3 linked regions of the Macaca fascicularis genome follow. The protein of the gene in region 1 interacts with the protein of each later gene in a biochemical or structural test. Links are inferred from orthologs where the notes say so. Each region holds a gene or a part of one and is shown in the gene's direction. Other genes may lie near its edges.

What was found.
Region 2: the proteins of PFN1 (region 1) and WASL form a complex in vitro, tested with the Homo sapiens proteins (2 studies listed by BioGRID). The link is inferred for Macaca fascicularis from reciprocal best matches to the Homo sapiens genes PFN1 and WASL.
Region 3: the proteins of PFN1 (region 1) and ACTB form a complex in vitro, tested with the Homo sapiens proteins (2 studies listed by BioGRID and IntAct, with this or other methods). The link is inferred for Macaca fascicularis from reciprocal best matches to the Homo sapiens genes PFN1 and ACTB.

The regions. Positions count from the first base shown.
Region 1 is NC_088390.1:5,063,156-5,070,001, reverse strand, and holds PFN1 (profilin-1), read left to right. Parts: upstream 1-2,824; 5' UTR 2,825-2,987; coding exon 2,988-3,119; intron 3,120-4,519; coding exon 4,520-4,921; 3' UTR 4,922-4,936; downstream 4,937-6,846. Other genes in the region: ENO3 (beta-enolase), read right to left, coding at 768-792; E3 ubiquitin-protein ligase RNF167, read right to left, coding at 6,328-6,629, 6,706-6,786. UniProt on the Homo sapiens protein: Binds to actin and affects the structure of the cytoskeleton. At high concentrations, profilin prevents the polymerization of actin, whereas it enhances it at low concentrations. By binding to PIP2, it inhibits the formation of IP3 and DG.
Region 2 is NC_088377.1:165,389,692-165,396,541, reverse strand, and holds the start of WASL (actin nucleation-promoting factor WASL), read left to right. Parts: upstream 1-2,343; 5' UTR 2,344-2,711; coding exon 2,712-2,828; intron 2,829-6,850. UniProt on the Homo sapiens protein: Regulates actin polymerization by stimulating the actin-nucleating activity of the Arp2/3 complex. Involved in various processes, such as mitosis and cytokinesis, via its role in the regulation of actin polymerization.
Region 3 is NC_088377.1:45,108,574-45,115,482, reverse strand, and holds ACTB (actin, cytoplasmic 1), read left to right. Parts: upstream 1-3,145; 5' UTR 3,146-3,223; intron 3,224-4,082; 5' UTR 4,083-4,088; coding exon 4,089-4,211; intron 4,212-4,345; coding exon 4,346-4,585; intron 4,586-5,029; coding exon 5,030-5,468; intron 5,469-5,562; coding exon 5,563-5,744; intron 5,745-5,860; coding exon 5,861-6,004; 3' UTR 6,005-6,590; downstream 6,591-6,909. UniProt on the Homo sapiens protein: Actin is a highly conserved protein that polymerizes to produce filaments that form cross-linked networks in the cytoplasm of cells.

The DNA.
Region 1 (6,846 bases):
GATCCTTGGGTGCTCCCAGAGTTTGTCCCATCTGCTTGCTCCAGCCGCCCCTTCCCCCAGCTTTTTCAAGCACCTCCAGTCCCAGGAGAAAAAAAAGCAGAAACGTCCCCCACTTCCTCCAACTCAACACCATGCGCACCCTTTACTACGTCCACCCCGGGGGCTGGAAGATTTAGCTGACCTGGGATGTCTTCGTTGGAGGTTTGGATGGAGCTCCGAGTCTAGGTGGCAGCTGGGACAGTGTCAGCTCACCCCCTCTCGGGCTGCGCATTTATCCCTGAGCCACTGGGTCCCCAGCCAGCCCCGCCTCTCTCTCTCTCCATCCTCCCCCCTTCACACTGGGCTGGCAGCCAAGTGCCCACTACAGCCTAAAGCAGAAGCCTCTGGCCCTGGGCACCTGCCCCCTTACCAAAGGTCAACTACTATCCCCCACTTTCTTTCCGTCCCCCAGTAACAGTCCCAGTTTTAATTCCCCTTTGGGAGGAGCGGGGGAGGGGCTTCAGATGAGGGGTCTCCCCCACCCCAGGATTACATTCCCCTTTTGCAAACGTCAAGAGGAATGTGTGACCTTTAGGAAAGGCCAGGGGTAACCTGAGCCCTGCAAGGCTGGGGAGGGGGCCTGGAAGAGGGGCTGCAGGATTGACATCCACACATGCTCAGATCGCTGGGCGGGCCTCTGCCCTCAGTGGGGGAAGGGAGGGGACTTCTGGGCAAGCTCTGACGTCTAAAATTGAACCCCCCCACCCCAGAAGGCGAGAGAGTCTCACCTCTTAGGGTCCTCATAACGGCCATTATCGGCGACGCCCCATCCTACCCTCTCCAGGCCAGCCAGGGTGGGGATGAATTAGGGGCCAGGAGACAAATTTAGACGGGCCCTCTCGGCTGGCGCGGCGCCCGATTGATAACGCTGGGACAGCACTTGTCGCCCGGCATGGGGACTATTGGTCAGAGCCCTTCTCCCCACCGACTGTGGGCGCTCAGCGCACGGCCCCAGCCCATCAATGAATGGGGTTGAATCAACAGTGAACAAAAATGAATGGACCGAGGACGGGTGGCCCTTTGTGAGCTTCTGCACGCCTGGGGCTCCTCCGGCGCCCCGCCGTAGCACTGCGGGGAGGTGGGTCTCTGCTCTCGGTAGAGATCTCCACCTTGCCAGCTCTGGGGCCAGTGCGGGGTCTGCCCCGAGCTCCTCTGCAGCCATGCCAGCCGAACGGCTGGGGTCACGGGGCTCGACTCGGAGGCCCTTCCCGCCGGCGCCGGGGCAGCCCGCGCCCGGTGACTCACCCCCGCCTCCCTCTCCCCACCCCTGCTCCCCGCCCCGCCGGCCAGCGCGGCCTCCCAGCCCCCACCTCAAGCCACCTGGCCCGCCACCCGTCCCGTCTCCCATCTTGCCCCGCCCTCTCATCTCAGGCCGCTCCTCCCGGGATTTTTCCACCCTGGGGTGGGGGTGCGGCGGGTCAGGGGTCAGGAGATGGCGGGCGGGGAGCGCCGCCACGTGCCCGGGTGCGGCCCCGCCCGAGCCCGCCAGTGACTCAGCCGCGCGGCTGTCGAGGAACACGGGCTCGAGGGGCGTCGGGGACTGTGGGGTTCGGCGTGGACGCCAGGGATGCGCGCCGCACTCGGGAGGAGGAGAGAGAAAACCAAGCCCCTTTCCGCCCGGGCCGCGCTCCGTGACCTCGCGCCCCTAACCCAGGCTCCGGAAGCGGCCCAGCCCTCGGCGGCGGGTCGGAGAAGACGGCTTCACCTCGGCCGCCACCCGGCCGCCCCGCCCTCCCCAGGTGGCGGCGAGCGCACATCTGACTGAGAAGAAACCCAAAGGGCCCGAAGTGGGACTTTCCCCTTCTTGAAAAAGTTGCCACTCTTGCAACTTGAGTATTCTTCCGCCTCGAAAAATAGCCCCGCCTGTTAAGCCCCGCGGGTGTCCGCGCTCAGTGACCTCTGCAGACTCAGGCCAAGGGGCACGGCCGGTGATCCAGACATTGCCTGCCCGGGGCGGGCGCGGCTGGGATATGGGATAAGGCCCTGGGCTAGAGCCGATCCAGAGAAGGGACAATCCTCTGGACTGAGAATGGGCCCTGGTGAACCTAACCTGCACTACCCGGGAAGACGCTGGGGACCGAAGTGGCCCCGGTGGGTGCCTTCAGCTATGAGAGCGACTAGGGTATTTGGCCAAACTCCCTTTGCTTTCCTATTGAATAAGTAAAATCAAGGGTGGTGAGGCGGCAGCGTGCACGGCTTCGCCCCCGCCCTTTCCGCCAGGCGGGAGACACGTCCCCAGCCCGCCTTCCTTTCCCGGAGGGTCCACAGGGGTCGGGTCGGGCGCGCTCCCGTGCAGCCGGCTCCGGCCCGGACCGCCCCATGCGCTCTCCCTCCCGGCCTTGGCGCAGGCGCAGGCGCGGGCACACGCGCCGCCGCCCGCCGGTCCTTCCCTTCGGCGGAGGTGGGGGAAGGAGGAGTCATCCCGTTTAACCCTGGACTCCCCGAACTCTCCTTAATTTGCTAAATTTGCGGCTTGCTAATTCTTCCTCCTTTCTCTTCCCTTCCTTCCTTCTGGCTCACTCCCTGCCCCGATAGCAAAGTCTGGTTTATATTCAATGCAAATTGGAGCAAACCCTACCCTTCACCTCTCTGCCGCCACCCCCCATCTTTCTACATTGCTTTCCATCGAACTCTGCAAATTTTGCAATAGGGGGAGGGATTTTTAAAATTGCATTTGCAAACTTCGGTGTCTGGGCTGGCGAGTGGGGGAGGGAGGGAATGGGGAGTAGGCCCCGCCCCTACCGTCCTTTGCAAATAAAAATCTAGCGGGGCGGGGGGGAGGAGCAGGAAGTGGCGGTGCGAGGGCTGCTGCACAGCGAGCAGAGCCGCGGTCCGGACGGCAGCGCGTGTCTCGAGCTCTCCGCCTCCCCCCGCCCGCCAGCCGAGGCAGCTCGTGCCCAGCCCGCGGCCCCAGCAGCAGCGCCGAGAGCAGCCCCAGTAGCAGCGCCATGGCCGGGTGGAACGCCTACATCGACAACCTCATGGCGGACGGGACCTGTCAGGACGCGGCCATCGTGGGTTACAAGGACTCGCCCTCCGTCTGGGCCGCCGTCCCCGGGAAAACCTTCGTCAACATCACGGTACTGCGAGGCCTGCGGTCCGGGGCACTGGTCGGGCTTGGACCCTGTGGGAGGGACTTGGGTGGGGGCGGGCGCGGTCTAGAGCGCGCAGCGAGAGGCCCTGACTGGGTGCTTGTCCTGGAAGCGGCGCGAATGGCGGCTGCACGTGAGCGGGTCCCTCGGTTGCTCCTAAGTCGTATGCCCCAGGCGGCGGCGCCCATCCCGCCCGCTACCCCGCTTTCCGCGACGGGGCGTTACATCCGGGGCACAGGGCGGGGAGGGGCGCGGCGCCCGGTGCGGCGGCCCACTTCCGCCTCTCCCAGGGCGGGGTGGGGACGCGCCTCAATTTTAATTGGGGATTGGGATTGAGAGGTGACCCGGGGACCCTCGAATCCCCAGCTCCCCGTCCGGCCGCCAGCTCGCGCCCCTCTACCATTGTTTCCCCTGGTGCGGGAGGGAGCCCCAGGCGCGTGGTATTGGTCCCTTGCCCACCCTCTGTGGACTCCCGGCCCCTCCCAACTCCGTTAGAGAGGGCGAGGCCACCACACGCCCCCCCAGCTCAGCACGTTGGACTCAACATTCCTGCGAGGCCAATCCCGGAAGTCCCCTCGCCCTCCCTTCCCGCCATCCGGCGGGGCCTGGAGCAGGGGAACTTTGTGAGAAGTTCTGAGACAGCATAAGCGAAAGAATATGAGTTGACTACCGCTGCTCCCACCACCATCTCCCTGTCCACACTGCCCGGAAGTGGGGAGGGGGAGCGGAAGTTCGAAAGGGGGGGAAGGGGGTTTCCGGGCGGGAGGGAACCGGATGTGGGGGCTTGGGGTGAAAGGGGGAGGGGGGAAAAGGTTCCTGGGGTACCTAGACCCGAGAGCTGACTTGCCGGGTCTAGCCCCCGTCCACCTTCAGAAGTTTTCCAACTTTCCCGGAAAGCCCCCAGGGGTCTGCTTCCTCTTGTCAGGGCAGACATACCTGGAGCTAAACTAGGTTACTTGGAGACCCAGGCGTCCGGGCCCTAAGAGCTCCTGCAGAACCTTTGACCAAATAAGGGCAAAGTTGCTTCTCTTGCCTCGCCCGCCCCCCTCCCTTCCCCTCTCCGCTTCTGCTTTTCCTGAAGGAGAGTTCTGAGCATCCAAAGACTCCTCACTTTTATCACTGATTCCCTTTATTTCCTGGGTTTACTTTCCCCCATTAACACTGAGATCTAAATCTCTAGAGGAGTATATCATCTCTTCCTCCCTAGTCCCATATTCTAGGTTTGAGAATCATGATCGTTTTCTGCACTAACGTTCCACAGTCCTCAGAGTTTCTCACAGTTTATTGATGGGTACTGAGTATATAACTTCGCGGGGTGGGTCTTTGGAGAACAAGGTGGGAATCTTGGTGCACTGACTAACTTGATGGGCGCTTGGTTCCTCTTCCAGCCAGCTGAGGTGGGTGTCCTGGTTGGCAAAGACCGGTCAAGTTTTTACGTCAATGGGCTGACACTTGGGGGCCAGAAATGTTCGGTGATCCGGGACTCACTGCTGCAGGATGGGGAGTTTAGCATGGATCTTCGTACCAAGAGCACCGGTGGGGCCCCCACCTTCAATGTCACTGTCACCAAGACTGACAAGAGTGAGTTCCTGAGTCTTACCATTCCTCTAGCGTCAAGATCTCTCATGTACCGCCTTCTGGTAATCTTGAGGGTGCTTTCTTGTGTGATTCCCCAGCATGAAGGCAGTCAGACCAGTATTCTGCCCCTTGTCTGCTGGATGCTGGATGGAACATGGGATAGTCCCTCCATTTCCGTCTCAGTTCCTCATCTTGTAATTCGAAGTTGTTGAACTGCATTACCTCTTAAGTTACTTCCTGCCTTGAGCTCGGATTAGAAACTGTTTTCTAGGAGTATAGGTAGATTCTTGGGGTCCTGAATCATCATCTAGTTAATCGTTTGAGCTCTTTTGTTAGAACCTGGAGGTGGCATGCTCATCCACAGCCCTTTCTAGCCTGAACACGAGTCAACAGTCTATGAGCCTTTGACCCCTAAGTTTTTAGTCTGTTCCTCTCCAGCATTTAAGCTTGATTTTCCTCTTTTGAAAAGCCTTATTGTTTCAGGGTGACTGACAGCCTGCCTGTGTGTGTGTGTTGGGGGGGGTTGGGAGAGATGAGGTTGGGTTACAGCCCCCAGGGCTGGACAGCTGCTGAACAGCTGGCAGGGGGTGGAATTGTGACACCTGGGTCCTAGCCTCCTTTCTCTTTCCTCCTCCAGCGCTAGTCCTGCTGATGGGCAAAGAAGGTGTCCACGGTGGTTTGATCAACAAGAAATGTTATGAAATGGCCTCCCACCTTCGGCGCTCCCAGTACTGACCTCGTCTGTCCCTTCCCCTTCACCGCTCCCCACAGCTTTGCACCCCTTTCCTCCCCCATACACACATACACCATTTTATTTTTTAGGCCATTACCCCATACCCCTTATTGCTGCCAAAACCACATGGGCTGGGGACCAGGGCTGGATGGACAGACAACTCCCCCTACCCATACCCCTCCTGTGTGTGGTTGGAAAACTTTTTTGTTTTTTGGGTTTTTTTTTTTTTTTTCTGAATAAAAAAGATTCTAACAAGGTGCTGTGTGATTTGAGCTTGGGTGTCAGAATGGGGGACAGGCACTGTGACTTGCCTCCTTTATCATGGCTTGGGAGCAGGAAGGTTGAGGTACTACAAGGTGCAAGAATTTGAGCTTCTGGCCAGGTGGCCCTGCCCCTCCACAGTGGCATTTCCAGGCCTAAGTCCTCAGTGTGCTGGTTAAATTGGTGGATAATGGAATAGAGCCATCTGGACCAGAGAATGGGTGCAGGCCTGCAGGCAAGGCAGGGCTAGTTGAGTCATCCTTGTGGGTGGGGCTCCCCCTGAGTCATAGCAAATGCCTGCTGGGGCTGTCCCCATGACTATAGGTTAGTGTCTCAGCATTCTCTTGCTCCTTATGGCTAAAGGGGTGATTCCCCCAAAGGGTTAAGTTCACCTAAAAATTATCTCACCCTTCCTTAGTCCACAAAAAACAATTTTATTAGCCCAAGAAGTGAAGACCCAGTCCCTTTGCTTGCCCCAGCCCCACCCCAATGCCCCTCAAAAGGATAGGTGTGGGTAAGGGAGCAACTTAGGATGGAATGTCCCCTATCCCTCAACTTAGAAGACTGGAGGGAAGAAGACGGTCTGTGCAAATAGGTCACCAGAAGTGTACATGTAGAGGGTTATTAGACCAGGATGACGGGGGAAGAGGGAGGAGAGGGTGGGGGATCTGTTGAAGGCCCAGGAAAAACAAGGGGAGCTGGGGCTAGGGAACCAAATGAGGTGGGAAGAGTGGGGCTAGAACCCAAAAGTGGGGTCCTTTCGGAAGCAGGGTGGTCCCTTGGCTCCCCTTCTTCACCCTCCTCTTGCCCCTGAGCTTCTTCCTCTTGCTCTTCGTCCCCAGGACCACGATGAACAGGCTGCTTGCAAATGGGGCAGGTCTTCCGGGTCTGAGTCAGCCAGGGGTCCACGCAGCGGCTGTGGTAGGCTGCAGAGAGGAACAAGGTGAAGCACCTGGTGGCTGCCAGTGGCAGAGGGGCATGGGCAGGCAGTGAGGGCCTCACCATGAGCACAGGGGAGTACCCGCAGCTTGTCTCCATCTTCATATTCATCCAGGCAGATGGCACAGACATCATACTGGTCTCCTGGGACAGAAAGAAAATAATCTAGTCCTTCACTGAGCCATCGTGACCCAGGGCTAAGGC
Region 2 (6,850 bases), on another chromosome or scaffold:
TCTTTCCTGTCTTCAAAATAGTTTGGTGGTCTACAAGTTCTAAAAGCTGGTATTTCTAACATAAAATTTGCTAATCTTTCAGTTTTTATTAATTAGAAGCTAATAGGATTCTATCTCTGGATTTACAGTTTTAAAAAGTTTTATTTTGGCATACTGGGATATCTGTAACTTATTTGGCATAATATATGGCCTAATCAGAAATTCTGCTATCAAGTTCTTCACTATATTTTTTAAAAATTATGTACAATTGTAAATTTGAAGTACAGTTTTTGAAGAGTCAGACTTAAAACAAAGGTAAGAATACATATATTAAGTCTTGATCCCTTAGCTCAGGGAAAGCAGAACAGACCATAGGCAAGGACTGTCAGTGGCCGACAACTAATACTTGAGTAATCATTATGTATCAGGTACTTTACATGTGATATCTTTTTTTAATGTCTTATAATTTTAGTTTAAAAAAATTTTAATAGACAATAACTGCACATATTTATGGGGGTACACAGTGATGTTGCAATACATATAACGTATAGTGATTAGATCAGGGTAATTAGCATATCTATCATCTCAGAAACATTATGTCTTTGTTTTGGGAACATGCAATATCCTTCCAGCTATTTGAAACTATATAGTATTGTTAACTACAGTCATCCTACAGTGCTACAGAACACTAGAGCTTACACCTCCTATCTAGTTGTAATTTTGTATTTTACAACTTCGAAGTAGGTGTAATTATCCCTATTTAGACTATACTTGTATGAAACAGAAATTATTTTCATTTTACAGATGAGGAAACTGAGACGCAGAGAAGTAATCTGTCCAAAGTCCACTGGGTTATAAGATTCATAACAAGAACTACAACTTGGGTCTATCTGAATCTTAAACTTCTGGCACTATACTTGCTCACAGGTTTGAAAAGAAGAGCTTTAATTTCTACTATTTCTCAAGAATTTGTAATGCTTTCTCTTGTCACTGTGCTTTCAACTTACAGGGGTTGCAGTTTTGATAAAAGACAAACTGATTTAGCTTCTAGCTTTGTTAGATCTGTAATTCAGAAGCAACTCCAGGCTTCCATTTCTACTAATGCTTTCTAAATCTAATTATGTTATAAATAGTCCTGTTGCTTTAATTCACTTTTTACCCTAACATTATTAATCAAGTTTAACTTTGAAATCTCCATATTTTATGTGAGACCTCCCAAGGCTATCCAATCTTATTTTCCTTTGTAAATTTATTGTTGCTCAGCCTATTTCATTAAGGACAGCTTTAATTTTAATACTTTATAATTATTTTCAAAGTGCATGATAATGGTTTATCAGTCTGGTTAGTACATCAGAGATTTCTATTGGCGCTATCAGAGATGTTAACATCCAACAGTTTCACCAAAGTGTAACTGTTATAGATGTCTTGTTTAACATATAACTTCTTTGTTTATTGGAATTAAGCAATTACCAGACATGAATTTATGCAACAAAAATGTTTAATGTGAACAGTGACATGCATATTTGATAGCTCACTGCAGTCTGCATCATTGTCTCTAGATTCCAAAATTTCATTTTAAGCCGTTTAGTACTTACAGAACAAAGGGGGTTATCTTAGATAACTTTTAATATCCTGGGCTATTTTCCAATTCACGATACAGGGGGAAAAAAATGTGTCCAGGGCCCTTAAAAGAAAATACTTTGAATTTAAATATGACACATACATTAAGCCCACGTGACACGCCAGGGAGGCGGTGGAAGTCAAGTGCATTTGTTTTTGTTACATCCATCAGGGCGATCTCTTTCACAATTCTGGGAGAGGCCTGTTTGTTCCTCCACTCCCACAGTTAAAGTTTGGACAAAGTTTGAGAAAATCCCAGGCACCTGCGGCTCCTAGTGAAGCCCGCGAGGAGCATAGGGGAAAGCACCTCTTCCCCAGTTTTCAGTCTTCAGATCGCAGGCCTCTCGAACCCGCAGAGCGAGCGTCACGCTGCCGCGCCTGAGAAATGAGCGCTATTTCAAGGACAGGCCCTGGGTCCTCACTGACGCTTCGCAAAGGTGTGCGTCCGCCCAAGGAAGGCCGGCGGCGCAGCGACGGCGAGGAGTCTCCCTACCCATCTTCTCTTCAAGCAGCAGTAGCTGGTTCTGGGTACCCAACCGACGAGCCGAGACGCCAGAAGCCAGAGGACGAAGTTGAAAGCCTGCGCCCCGAGCCGACCGGAATTCCACTTAGCTCCGCGCGGTCCGCGCCTCGGCCGGAAGGGGGCGTGGCTTCGGGCCGGCGCGGCGAGGCCCGCCGCCGAGTGGGGGGGGGTTCCTCCCGGGCCCCGGCCGCGCGTTTCCGGTGCGCTCCCCCGCGCCCTCCGTCCTGTGGTCTCGCCCGTCCCCGCTGCCATGTTGGATTGTGCGGCCGCCGCCGCCGCCGCCGCTGCGGGAGGGTTGGGGGAGGAGTTGGGAGTTTAGCGCAGTCGCTGGAGTGCGAGGACAACGACCATCCGGCCCTATCCTGGCCGGGCGGGAGCTGGGAGCTTCCCTTTCTCAGCGCGGCCCGAAGGTGGTTCGCCGTCGGCGCCTGCGTCCCTCGACCTCCTCCTCCTCCGCGCTCCGGAGGAGCTGCGAGATGTGGCGCCTCTGACTCCGCTTCTCCCCGCCCCTGTCACCGAGAGGGGTAACGAGCTCTCGCCCACTCGCGGGAGGAGACGGCCCTGGACTCCCAACCCTGCCGGCGAAACCATGAGCTCCGTCCAGCAGCAGCCGCCGCCGCCGCGGAGGGTCACCAACGTGGGGTCCCTGCTGCTCACCCCGCAGGAGAACGAGTCCCTCTTCACTTTCCTCGGCAAGAAATGTGTGGTCAGTGGATAAGAACCGCGTCGCCACCCCTGACATTACCTCACGGGCCCGGACTTGGGGTCCGGGAAGTGGGAGTGGGGAAGGAGGCGGGAGCGGCGCGGGGAGGGTCCCGCTTGTCGGCCAGGCCTCCCGCCAGCCCCGGCCCCTCGTCGGCGCCCTCGCCCTGCTCCCTGGGTGCGGGCTGTGGCGGTCGGGCGCCGCCTCCCCGAGCTTTGGGGAACAAGGGAGTGTCACCTCCGCAGGCCTGTCCTCCAGCCTGGCCGGGCCTCGGTCCGCGCCCTGGCTGCTGGTTAAAACTTTACTCTCAGGCCGCAAGGGGATTTTCTTGTAAGAGTCGCTTGGTCCCAGAATCTGGGCCCTTGCTCTAGCTCTCGCGTCACCTCCTCCTGCTGGATCTGGGGGTACCTTCCTTAACAATGCCAGGTTTGAGGAGTGGATAGGTCGGGGAAGGAAGGTGGTTTTCACTCTCCCATTAGGATTCCAGGAGGGAATGAAGTCGAGTGCAAGAGCCTGGGCTCTCTTCAGATTAGAGAGGATAAAAAAAAATGTTACTGCTCTTCGTTAAAGAGAAACAAGATTGATTTCTCCAGCAACCTTGTCTAGGCCTGGTTTCTACTTTCCTTCCCACTGATTTTTTCCCCCATTGGTGGGAGGGGGTGCTGCTCTCCCCGCAGCCATGCGCAGGGAAACCTCAATCTCTGGTAGTTCTTGGTTTTTGGGGCCGAGAATGATTCTTAGTTTGGTGCTGTGCGGCCAATTCCAACCCCAGATGGCCGGTTGGGAGCGAGCAGTTCTGCTGTGGGAAGGGGAATGTGTGTTGTTGACGGAAGCATTCGTTACATTGGCTGCTGGCACTTCTGGGGGTGGGGAGGTTCTGCTCTGTGGTATAGGCCTTGTCGGAATCATGCTGCGGTGCTGGGTTGAAGTGTGGTTTGTTGAAATCCTGGCTGGGTCTCTTTCTCTCCACTTTGTTTGCTAGCACCTGCAGAGTATGTGCCACTGGAATCCAGAAAACACGGAAATTTCAACAGAGCAATACCATTTTATAACTCCTTTAATGTTAGGTATGCCAAACCAGATTTCACCTGCTTCTTTACGAAGTTAGGGTTAGACAATTTCTGGAAAGTTCTTGGATTAATTGTTAACGTCGTAGGAGTCCACCCTTTGTATCTTGTGCCATCCGGTTGGAGATTGAATCGTTCCATTCAATTTCAGATGTGTTTCAAATTTCGGAACTTAGACCTTAGAGAACATTGAGTTTCGTGATTAGAAGGATGAAACGAGAGGAGTGGCTCAAAACGAGAATTTTGGGTAACAACTTTAAGCCCCTCCCCATTCACACACTTTTTTCAACAAATGAGAAAACTGATCCAGTGAGCCCAAGTCATACAACAGTTTAACGATGTAACCAGAACCAGAAAACCGGGACTCCTCATGCCTCGTCCTATCCCTTGGTACTTTCCACTACATCATGTTGTTTTAGAAGGGTGTTTTTTTTTTTTCTTGTTACCGATTTATTTCCAAAAGTGGTGTTAAAGGAATAACCACTTTGCCTTTTTCACCAAAAACTAATTAAAATACAAGATTCTTAAAGCACCACTAATGTTTGCATATGTTCAGTTTAGGAAAATCTCCAGCACTTTGAATGTTAGTTACCTCCAATGAAAAAAAAATTCAGTTGTTGGTTTAGTAGATTAGCTGTGTAACCTGTATCAAAAAGGAAGTAGTCATACTGTGTTCTACATACCACACACATTAACTTTACGCAGAAAGAACATTACATTTATACACAAGTATAGTAATTGTCCTGTGCTTACCTATAGTTTTACTGGTTTCAAAAAATGGCAGATGGGGAAAAATACTGTGATAGGGAAAAATGATGTTGCACGTTGGTTAGTGTAAGTGGATTGCTGAATAGGCTGTCAGTATTCAGTGCTTAATTTCTTTACGCCATCTTTTATTAATTAACTTTACCTTTTGCATTTCTGTCATTTAAAAACCACACTGTGTCAGTTGCCTGCTTCTGTGGGATAAGTCGTTGCATACACTAATTTCAAAAATTGAAGTCCCTAGTTAATAGAGAGTTAAGAGTGATATTTTAATTTTTGAAATAATCTTTTTCTCCCTTTGCTGATTATGCAGGGTTTTTTTTGTCTTTTAAAACATTACCGAAATACATTGTCTCATAATAAATCCAGCAGTAAGATTTACAGGTCAGACCAAATGTGTTAGGCAGAAGAGTACTCAGAGCTCTATTTAAGAATTCAAGAAATGAAACAGAAGCAGTTACAGTCTTAGCTCTGAAGGAGCTTCATATCTTCTTTCATTCAACAAACATGCATTGATTAAATGTTGAGGTCAAAATCTAGAAGGGCTGAAACTTGTCCTCAGGGAGCTTACTAGGTCTAAAAAGGGAAACGTGTAAACTGATAAATAAGTCAGTGCTTCAGAGTGATGTGTAAGAGGCTACTTTTCACAATAGAAAATGTCTTGGCTTTGTAATAGCAAATATGGGTTCAAACTGGGGGTCACTTTGGGTAAGTTTCTTAAGCTTCCTATCCTAGATTTGGTTTTCTCATGTGTAAAACAAAGATACTATCTCATGGGTAGTTGTGTGGATTAAGACTGTGTGTAAATATATGGAAACTATTTTTATACAGGTTTAGGGGATTAAAGGAGAGAATGGGGGGAGAGAGGTTGAGTAAAAGCTTGTTAAAATGGATAACTGAATATTTATATCTAAACAGGTGCTCCCTAGGCTGATGAGAGGTATGAAACAACTTGAAAAGTTAGGAGACCTACTAATAAGTTTATTAGATTTCTTAGGGAGCAAGGAGGGCTTCTGCTTGGGCTCTCAGATTTAGGTATGCATTGGAATCATTGTGGAGATTATGAGAAATGCATATGCCTAGACCCAATTCCTAGATAATATTCAGAATCACTGGATATGAGGTGAAGCTTGGACATGTCTATTTTTAACAAACTTAACAGAAGATTTTAAAGTATATCACAGTTTGAAAACCACTGCTGAAGACCACGTCTGATAGGATAATCCTTGAGCACATTGGAAATCTTAATAGATTTTTCTTCAGTTTTTGGTCTATATTTTGCAAATTGAAGCTCAATTAAGTTAAATCAAATTCTTTTAGTACAGCATTTCTCTGACCGCTTAAGATATCAGTGTACATTTCACAACTAAGAAGGAGATACAGTTGAGGAAGTATTGCACTCTTTAAGGGGGACTCACAAGATCATATTTGACTTAGAAAATTTTCAGGGGAAAGGTGGAGGCAGTATAGAACGTGGATTGAGGATTGTGAGGGAAAGACAAGGGAAATCAGATAGTTGTTTTATAGTAGTGCAGGTGAAATATGATGAGGGCCTAAATTAAGAGAGTACTTTGGGAATTCAAGAACAATTAAAGTCTCCAGCAGAAATTAGTCCCAGTTATATATAGAAGGTGAGGGAAGGGAGTTTCAATAAAGGCAGGCATTATAACCACCAGCAGAAAGAAACATATTTTTATTTTCATTCACTGCAAATATGCCTAAATGTTAATGAGACTCTGGATTGGTGATTGGCTTCATGGAGGAGGCAAATCATCAGTAAATCTTTTGTTTTACCACAAAATTCATTTTGTGAAAGTTGAGATTTCATTGTGATATGTAAATACATGATATGTACTTTTACATAAATAGTTCTGATGCCATTCATTAGCTGGTAGTATTATGAAGGGAGAACTATTTAAGAAGGTTATAAATAAGATTACTAGGTCTTGTTTTGTAGTTATATCTGTTGCCTTTCATGTAGTGTGATTCAATTAATTTTATATAAAGAGTATGTGCAATTTTGCTAAGTGGAGTTCAGCATGTATAGTCCTGAATAAGTGAGAAACTAAGGATTAGGGAAAAGTAAAACATTAAAGTATGTCTCTACAGCCATTTCTGGTCTATATGGATTGGGGTTGATAATGTTATTGAGCGTTATCTTTCCCTGCCATACTCACCTGGTTGGTTTTTTCA
Region 3 (6,909 bases), on another chromosome or scaffold:
GTCTAGGATGGAAGCTTTGTCTCAGTTCCTTCCTCTAAAAAATGGAGCTTGAGGAGGGCATGGTGGCTCATGCCTGTAATCCCAGGACTTTGGGAGGCTGAGGTGGGAGGATCACTTGAGTCCCCAGGAGCTGGAGACCAGCCCGGGCAACATGGTGAGAAGCGCGAACTCTACAGATAATTTAAAAATTAGCCAGGCACGGAAGTGTGTGCCTACAGTCCTAGCTACTTGTGAGGGCTTTGAGCCCAGGAGGTCGAGGCTGCAGTGAGCTGTGACCACACTCCAGCCTGGGCATCAGAGCAAGACCTGGTATCAAAAAAAAAAAAAAAAAAAAAAAGTAATAAAAAGGAGGCTGGATTCCCTCTTGGCAGGGTAGGGAGGGGGCTTCAGTGCCCAGGGCAAGGTGGCTGGGCGGTGGTTTTGCGGGAGGGCCAAGGAGGGGTCCCTGGGTCTGGGCTGTAAGAGTCGGTTGCCTGGAGGCCTTGCAGGGTGGGGGCGTCAACAAAGCAAAGGCTTGGAGGGGAAAAAACAAAAGCCCCAGCCAGGCAGGTGGAGTCCCCTTGGCTGAGTTCAACCGAGGGTTCTCTGGGGAATGCGTGCATACCCAAGTGACAGCTCCGAAAACTCCCTTCCAGGGCAAAGTTCCCAAGCGCAGAAGAGAACCTATTCACTTCTCCCCTGCTCAGCCCGCCCCCTGGCCAGCCAGTTCTACTTCCTCTTTTCCTGCTCCGCTGCTTGCTTTCTCTCTTCAGCTCCTCCCTGCCCCTCACCCCAGGCTGCTTGGCCACCTCCAACCTGCCATCTGAGGACATCCAGGCAGTCACTCATTCAACAGCGAGGAGCCCTGGGGTGGGTGTGGTGGGAAGGAGTGGGGGTGATGGAGACCCTGGGAGGGCTCGCAGCCTGGTGGGTGAGGCCCAGTTCTAAATGCCAGCTGCAAGCCTTGGTCTGAGGTAGGGAGGAAGGCATGGTTGCAGAGGCTAAAAGGTTTCCCTAAAGACGGACTTTCTGGGATGGGACTTGAAGGGTGCATAGGAGAGCACCAAGAAGTGGCCGCTGCAGACAGAGGGAACCACAAGCCAGGAGGACAGGCCAGGAAGGCTGCAGCCTGGGGTGGGGTGGGGCTGGAGCTTCTGTCTCTTGGCCAGCTGAGTAGAGGCCCAGTGGCAGCACAGGTCCTGCCTGGGGATCAGGTCTGCTCTGCACCCTACCTTGTTGCCTGGAGCCGCCCACCCAACAGCCTCCCATCCTTGCTCTGCAGATCCGGTCCCATCCCCACCTCCCACAGCACTCCACCCAGTTCAACCTTTGAGGAACCCCCAGAACCAGCCCTCATCAACAGGCAGCAAAAAGGTCCCCCCCGCCCATCGCCCCACAACGCCGGCCCGGTGAACTGTAGGGTTGGCAGGTCCTTAGGCAGGTGGCAAGACGCCTGCAGCTGAAAGATACAAGGCCAGGCACAGGACAGTCCCATCCCCAGGAGGCAGGGAGTATACAGGCTGGGAAAGTTTGCCCTTGCGTGGGGTGGTGATGGAGGAGGCCTAGCAAGCCTTCTGGACTGTGAACCTGTGTCTGCCACTGTGTGCTGGGTGGTGGTCATCTTTCCCACCAGGCTGTGGCCTCTGCAACCTTCGAGGGAGGAGTGGGTCCCACTGACTGAGCACAGCCTTGTACCGTGAACTGGAACAAGGCCACAGGTTCCACGTCCTTATATGGACTCATCTTTGCCTGTTGCAACACACACTCAACGAACACCTACTACGTGCTGCAAAGCCCCCTGAAGGCCTGACATGCCCCCACCTCACCACCCTTCCTATTTTTGTGTAAAAATCCAGCTTCTTGTCACCACCTCCAAGGAGGGGGAGGAGAAGGGCATGTTCCTCTAGGTTGAGCTGAATGCCCCTCTGTGGTCCCACGCCACTGATCACTGCATGTCCACCAGCTGGGTACATACAGTCTCTGATTCCCAGAGCAGAACGACCCTAGCCACCCGGGTCTTGTGTGCTACTGAGTGGACAGACCCGAGGCAAGAAAGGGTGACAAGGAGAGGGTCTTCCCAGGCTGGCTTTGAGCTCCTACCCCACCCCGCCCCCAATCCTCTCTGGCACATGGTGTCTTGGTCCCCAGAGTCCCCCCGCGGCCTCCAGATGGTCTGGGAGGGCAGTTCAGCTGTGGCTGCGCATAGCAGACATGCAATGAACGGTGGGCGCAGACCCAGGCTGTGTAGACCCAGCCCCCACACCCCGCAGTGCCTGGAGCTGCCTGGGTCACCCACTAACGCCCCAGGCCTGGTCTTGGCTGGGCGTGACCGCGTTACCCTCAGAAGCAGCAGCTCCTGGGGAAACTTTCCCTGCCCCGTAGAGCCCACCTTCCCAGGGCCGTGGCTGGGTGGGTTTGCAGCTTTCATCACAGGCCACCTCAAGCCACTGGACCGCTGGCGCCTGCCCTGTCCTGGGCAGTGTGGTCCTGCGACTTCTAAGTGGCCGCGAGCCCCCTGACTCCCCCAACACCACACTCTACCTCTCAAGCCCAAGTCTCTCCCTAGTGACCCACCCAGCCCATTTAGCTAGCTGAGCCCCATAATAGCCAGAGGTCCCGAGACCTGCTTTCAGGGCAGTTGCTCTGAAGTCGGCAAGGGGGAGTGACTGCCTGGCCACTCCATGCCCTTCAAGGGCTCCTTCTGCAGGAGCGCACAGCACCCAGGACCCTGGCACCCGTGCAGACCCTGGCCCACCCCACCTGGGCGCTCAGTGCCCAAGAGACGTCCACACCTAGAATGTCCCGCGGTGGGTGGGGGGCCCGAGAGACGGGCAGGCCGGGGACAGGCCTGGCCATGCGGGGCCGAACCGGGCACTGCCCAGCGTGGGGTGCGGGGGCCACCGCGCGCGCCCCCAACCCCCGGGCCCAGCACCCCAAGGCGGCCAACGCCAAAACTCTCCCTCCTCCTCTTCCTCAATCTCGCTCTCGCTCTTTTTTTTTTTTCGCAAAAGGAGGGGAGAGGGGGTAAAAAAATGCTGCACTGTGCGGCGAGGCCGGTGAGTGAGCGGCGCGGGGCCAATCAGCGCGCGCCGTTCCGAAAGTTGCCTTTTATGGCTCGAGCGGCCGCGGCGGCGCCCTATAAAACCCGGCGGCGCGACGCGCCTCCACCGCCGAGACCGCGTCCGCCCCGCGAGCACAGAGCCTCGCCTTTGCCGCTCCGCCGCCCGTTCACACCCGCCGCCAGGTAAGCCCGGCCAGCCGACCCTGGTAGGCGGCTCCCGGCTCGGCTGCCTAAGGCCGCGGCCCCTTCGCCTGTGTAGAGCCGCCTGCGCCGCAGCGGGGGTCGCATGTGGGGACTGGACTGCAGTGGGGGACGCGGGAGAAGCCCCTGGGCCTCCAGAGATGTGGGGACACCCCGCTCCAGTTTGGAGGCGCGGGCCCTGCTCGGGAGGCGCGCTCTGGGGGTGCTGCTCTCGGGATGGGGGCAGCCGGCGGGGTCTTTGTCCGAGCCGGCTTCTTGCCAGTGGGAACTGCAGGGTGGGCGCGGCGGAGCCCCCCCGCCAGGCTCGGTGGGGGGCTGGGGCGCCATTGCGCGTGCGTCCTGGGGCTTGGGGCGCTAACTCTGCGTGCGCGCTGGGAATCGGCGCTAGTTGCGCGTGCGCGCTGGGACTCAAGGCGCTAACTGCGCGTGCGTTCTGGGGCCCGGGTGCCGCGGCCTGGGCTGGGGCAAGGGCTGGCCCCGCCGGAAGGGGTGGGGTCGCGGAGGCTCCAGGGCGCTTGCGCGCACTTCCTGCCCGCGCCGCCGGCCGCCTGAGGGTGTGGCCGCCGCGCGCGCGCGCGCGCCGACCCGGCGCTATTTGAACGGAGCGGAGGCGGGGCCGGCTCCCGGTTGGGAGGGGGTGGGGGCCTGGCTTCCTGCCGCGCGCGGTGGGGACGCCTCCGACCAGTGTTTGCCTTTTATGGTAATAACGCGGCCGGCCCGGCTTCCTTTGTCCCCAATCTGGGCGCGCGCCTGCGCCCCCTGGCGGCCTAAGGCCTCGGCGCGCCGGAAGTGGGCAGGGCGGGGGCCACCTCGGCTCACAGCGCGCCCGGCTTTCCCGCAGCTCGCCATGGATGATGATATCGCCGCGCTCGTTGTCGACAATGGCTCCGGCATGTGCAAGGCCGGCTTCGCGGGCGACGATGCCCCCCGGGCCGTCTTCCCCTCCATCGTGGGGCGCCCCAGGCACCAGGTAGGGGAGCTGGGTGGGTGGGGCGGCCCCGGGAGCGGGCGGGAGGCGAGGGCGCTTTCTCTGCACTGGGGTCTCCCGGTTTCTGGGGTGGGGGCCGCGCCCGTGCTTAGGGCGCCTTGTTTTTTCTTTCCTAGGGCGTGATGGTGGGCATGGGTCAGAAGGATTCATATGTGGGCGACGAGGCCCAGAGCAAGAGAGGCATTCTCACCCTGAAGTACCCCATCGAGCACGGCATCGTCACCAACTGGGACGACATGGAGAAGATCTGGCACCACACCTTCTACAATGAGCTGCGTGTGGCTCCTGAGGAGCACCCCGTGCTGCTGACCGAGGCCCCCCTGAACCCCAAGGCCAACCGCGAGAAGATGACCCAGGTAAGTGGCCCGCTACCTCTTGTGGTGGCCACCGCCCTCTTTCCTGGTCTCCCGGAGCTGCGCCCTTTCTCACTGGTTCTCTCTTCTGCCGTTCTCCGTAGGACTCTCTTCTCTGACCTGAGTCTCCTTTGGAACTCTGCAGGTTCTATTTGCTTTTTCCCAGATGAGCTCTTTTTCTGGTGTTTGCCTCTCTGACTAGGTGTCTAAAACAGACAGTGCTGTGGGTGTAGGTACTAACACTGGCTCGTGTGACAAGCCCATGAGGCTGGTGTAAAGCGGCCTTGGAGTGTGTATTCAGTAGGTGCACAGTAGGTCTGAACAGAATCCCCATCCCAAGACCCCAGCACACTTAGCAGTGTTCTTTGCACTTCCTGCATGTCCCCCATCTGGCCTGGCTGTCCCAGTAGCTTCCTGAGTATGACATGGTGCATTTCTTCCTTACAGATCATGTTTGAGACCTTCAACACCCCAGCCATGTACGTGGCCATCCAGGCTGTGCTGTCCCTGTACGCCTCTGGCCGTACCACTGGCATCGTGATGGACTCCGGTGACGGGGTCACCCACACTGTGCCCATCTACGAGGGGTATGCCCTCCCCCATGCCATCCTGCGTCTGGACCTGGCTGGCCGGGACCTGACTGACTACCTCATGAAGATCCTCACTGAGCGCGGCTACAGCTTCACCACCACGGCCGAGCGGGAAATCGTGCGTGACATTAAGGAGAAGCTGTGCTATGTCGCCCTAGACTTCGAGCAGGAGATGGCCACAGCGGCTTCCAGCTCCTCCCTGGAGAAGAGCTACGAGCTGCCCGATGGCCAGGTCATCACCATTGGCAACGAGCGGTTCCGCTGCCCTGAGGCTCTCTTCCAACCTTCCTTCCTGGGTGAGTGGAGACCCGCCTCCCGGCCCTGCCTGACCTGAGGGTCACCCTTGGGGCTGTGCTTTGGAAGCTAAGTCCGCCCTCATTTCTTCCTCAGGCATGGAGTCCTGTGGCATCCACGAAACTACCTTCAACTCCATCATGAAGTGTGACGTGGACATCCGTAAAGACCTGTACGCCAACACAGTGCTGTCTGGTGGCACCACCATGTACCCTGGCATTGCTGACAGGATGCAGAAGGAGATTACTGCCCTGGCGCCCAGCACGATGAAGATCAAGGTGGGTGTCCTTCCACCCTGAGCTGACCTGGGCAGGTGGGCCGTGGGGCCCTGTGGTGTGTGGGGAGCTGTCACATCCGGGGTTCTCACTGCCTGTTTGTTCCCTTCCTTCCTCAGATCATTGCTCCTCCTGAGCGCAAGTACTCTGTGTGGATCGGCGGCTCCATCCTGGCCTCGCTGTCCACCTTCCAGCAGATGTGGATCAGCAAGCAGGAGTATGACGAGTCTGGCCCTTCCATCGTCCACCGCAAATGCTTCTAGGCGGACTGTGACTTAGTTGCGTTACACCCTTTCTTGACAAAACCTAACTTGCGCAGAAAACAAGATGAGATTGGCATGGCTTTATTTGTTTTTTTTGTTTTGTTTTGGTTTTTTTTTTTGGCTTGACTCAGGATTTAAAAACTGGAACGGTGAAGGTGACAGCAGTCGGTTGGAGCGAGCATCCCCCAAAGTTCTACAATGTGGCCGAGGACTTTGATTGTACATTGTTCTTTTTTTTAATAGTCATTCCAAATATGAGATGCATTGTTACAGGAAGTCCCTTGCCCTCCTAAAAGCCACCCCACTTCTCTCTAAGGAGAATGGCCCAGTCCTCTCCCGAGTCCACACAGGGGAGGTGATAGCATTGCTTTCGTGTAAATTATGTAATGCAAAATTTTTTTAATCTTCGCCTTAATACTTTTTTATTTTGTTTTATTTTGAATAATGAGCCTTCATGCCCCCTCTTTTTGTCCCCCAACTTGAGATGTCTGAAGGCTTTTGGTCTCCCTGGGAGTGGGTGGAGGCAGCCAGGGCTTACCTGTACACTGACTTGAGACCAGTTGAATAAAAGTGCACACCTTACAAATGAGGCCAAGAGTGACTTTGTGGCGTGACTGGGTTGTGGGCAGTGGAGGGTGATCCCTGAAGGGTGGGGTGGTGGGGGCCAACTTGTCCTTACCTAGAGTGGAGGTGGGCCAAGGTCCCTTCCGCCTTGACATTGAGCAGCCTTAGAGGGTGGGGGAAGATTCAGGATTCAGGTCTCTGTTTCTGCATACTGGGGAGTTCCTGGCCTGGCCCTTCCACCCATTCCCAGGTACCCTAGTTTCTCTGGTACTCAGTGCATATGCTTGAGGTGGAAATGGTTTGAGGTGGAAAACGCTTGAGGAAAATGCTTGAGGTGGAAA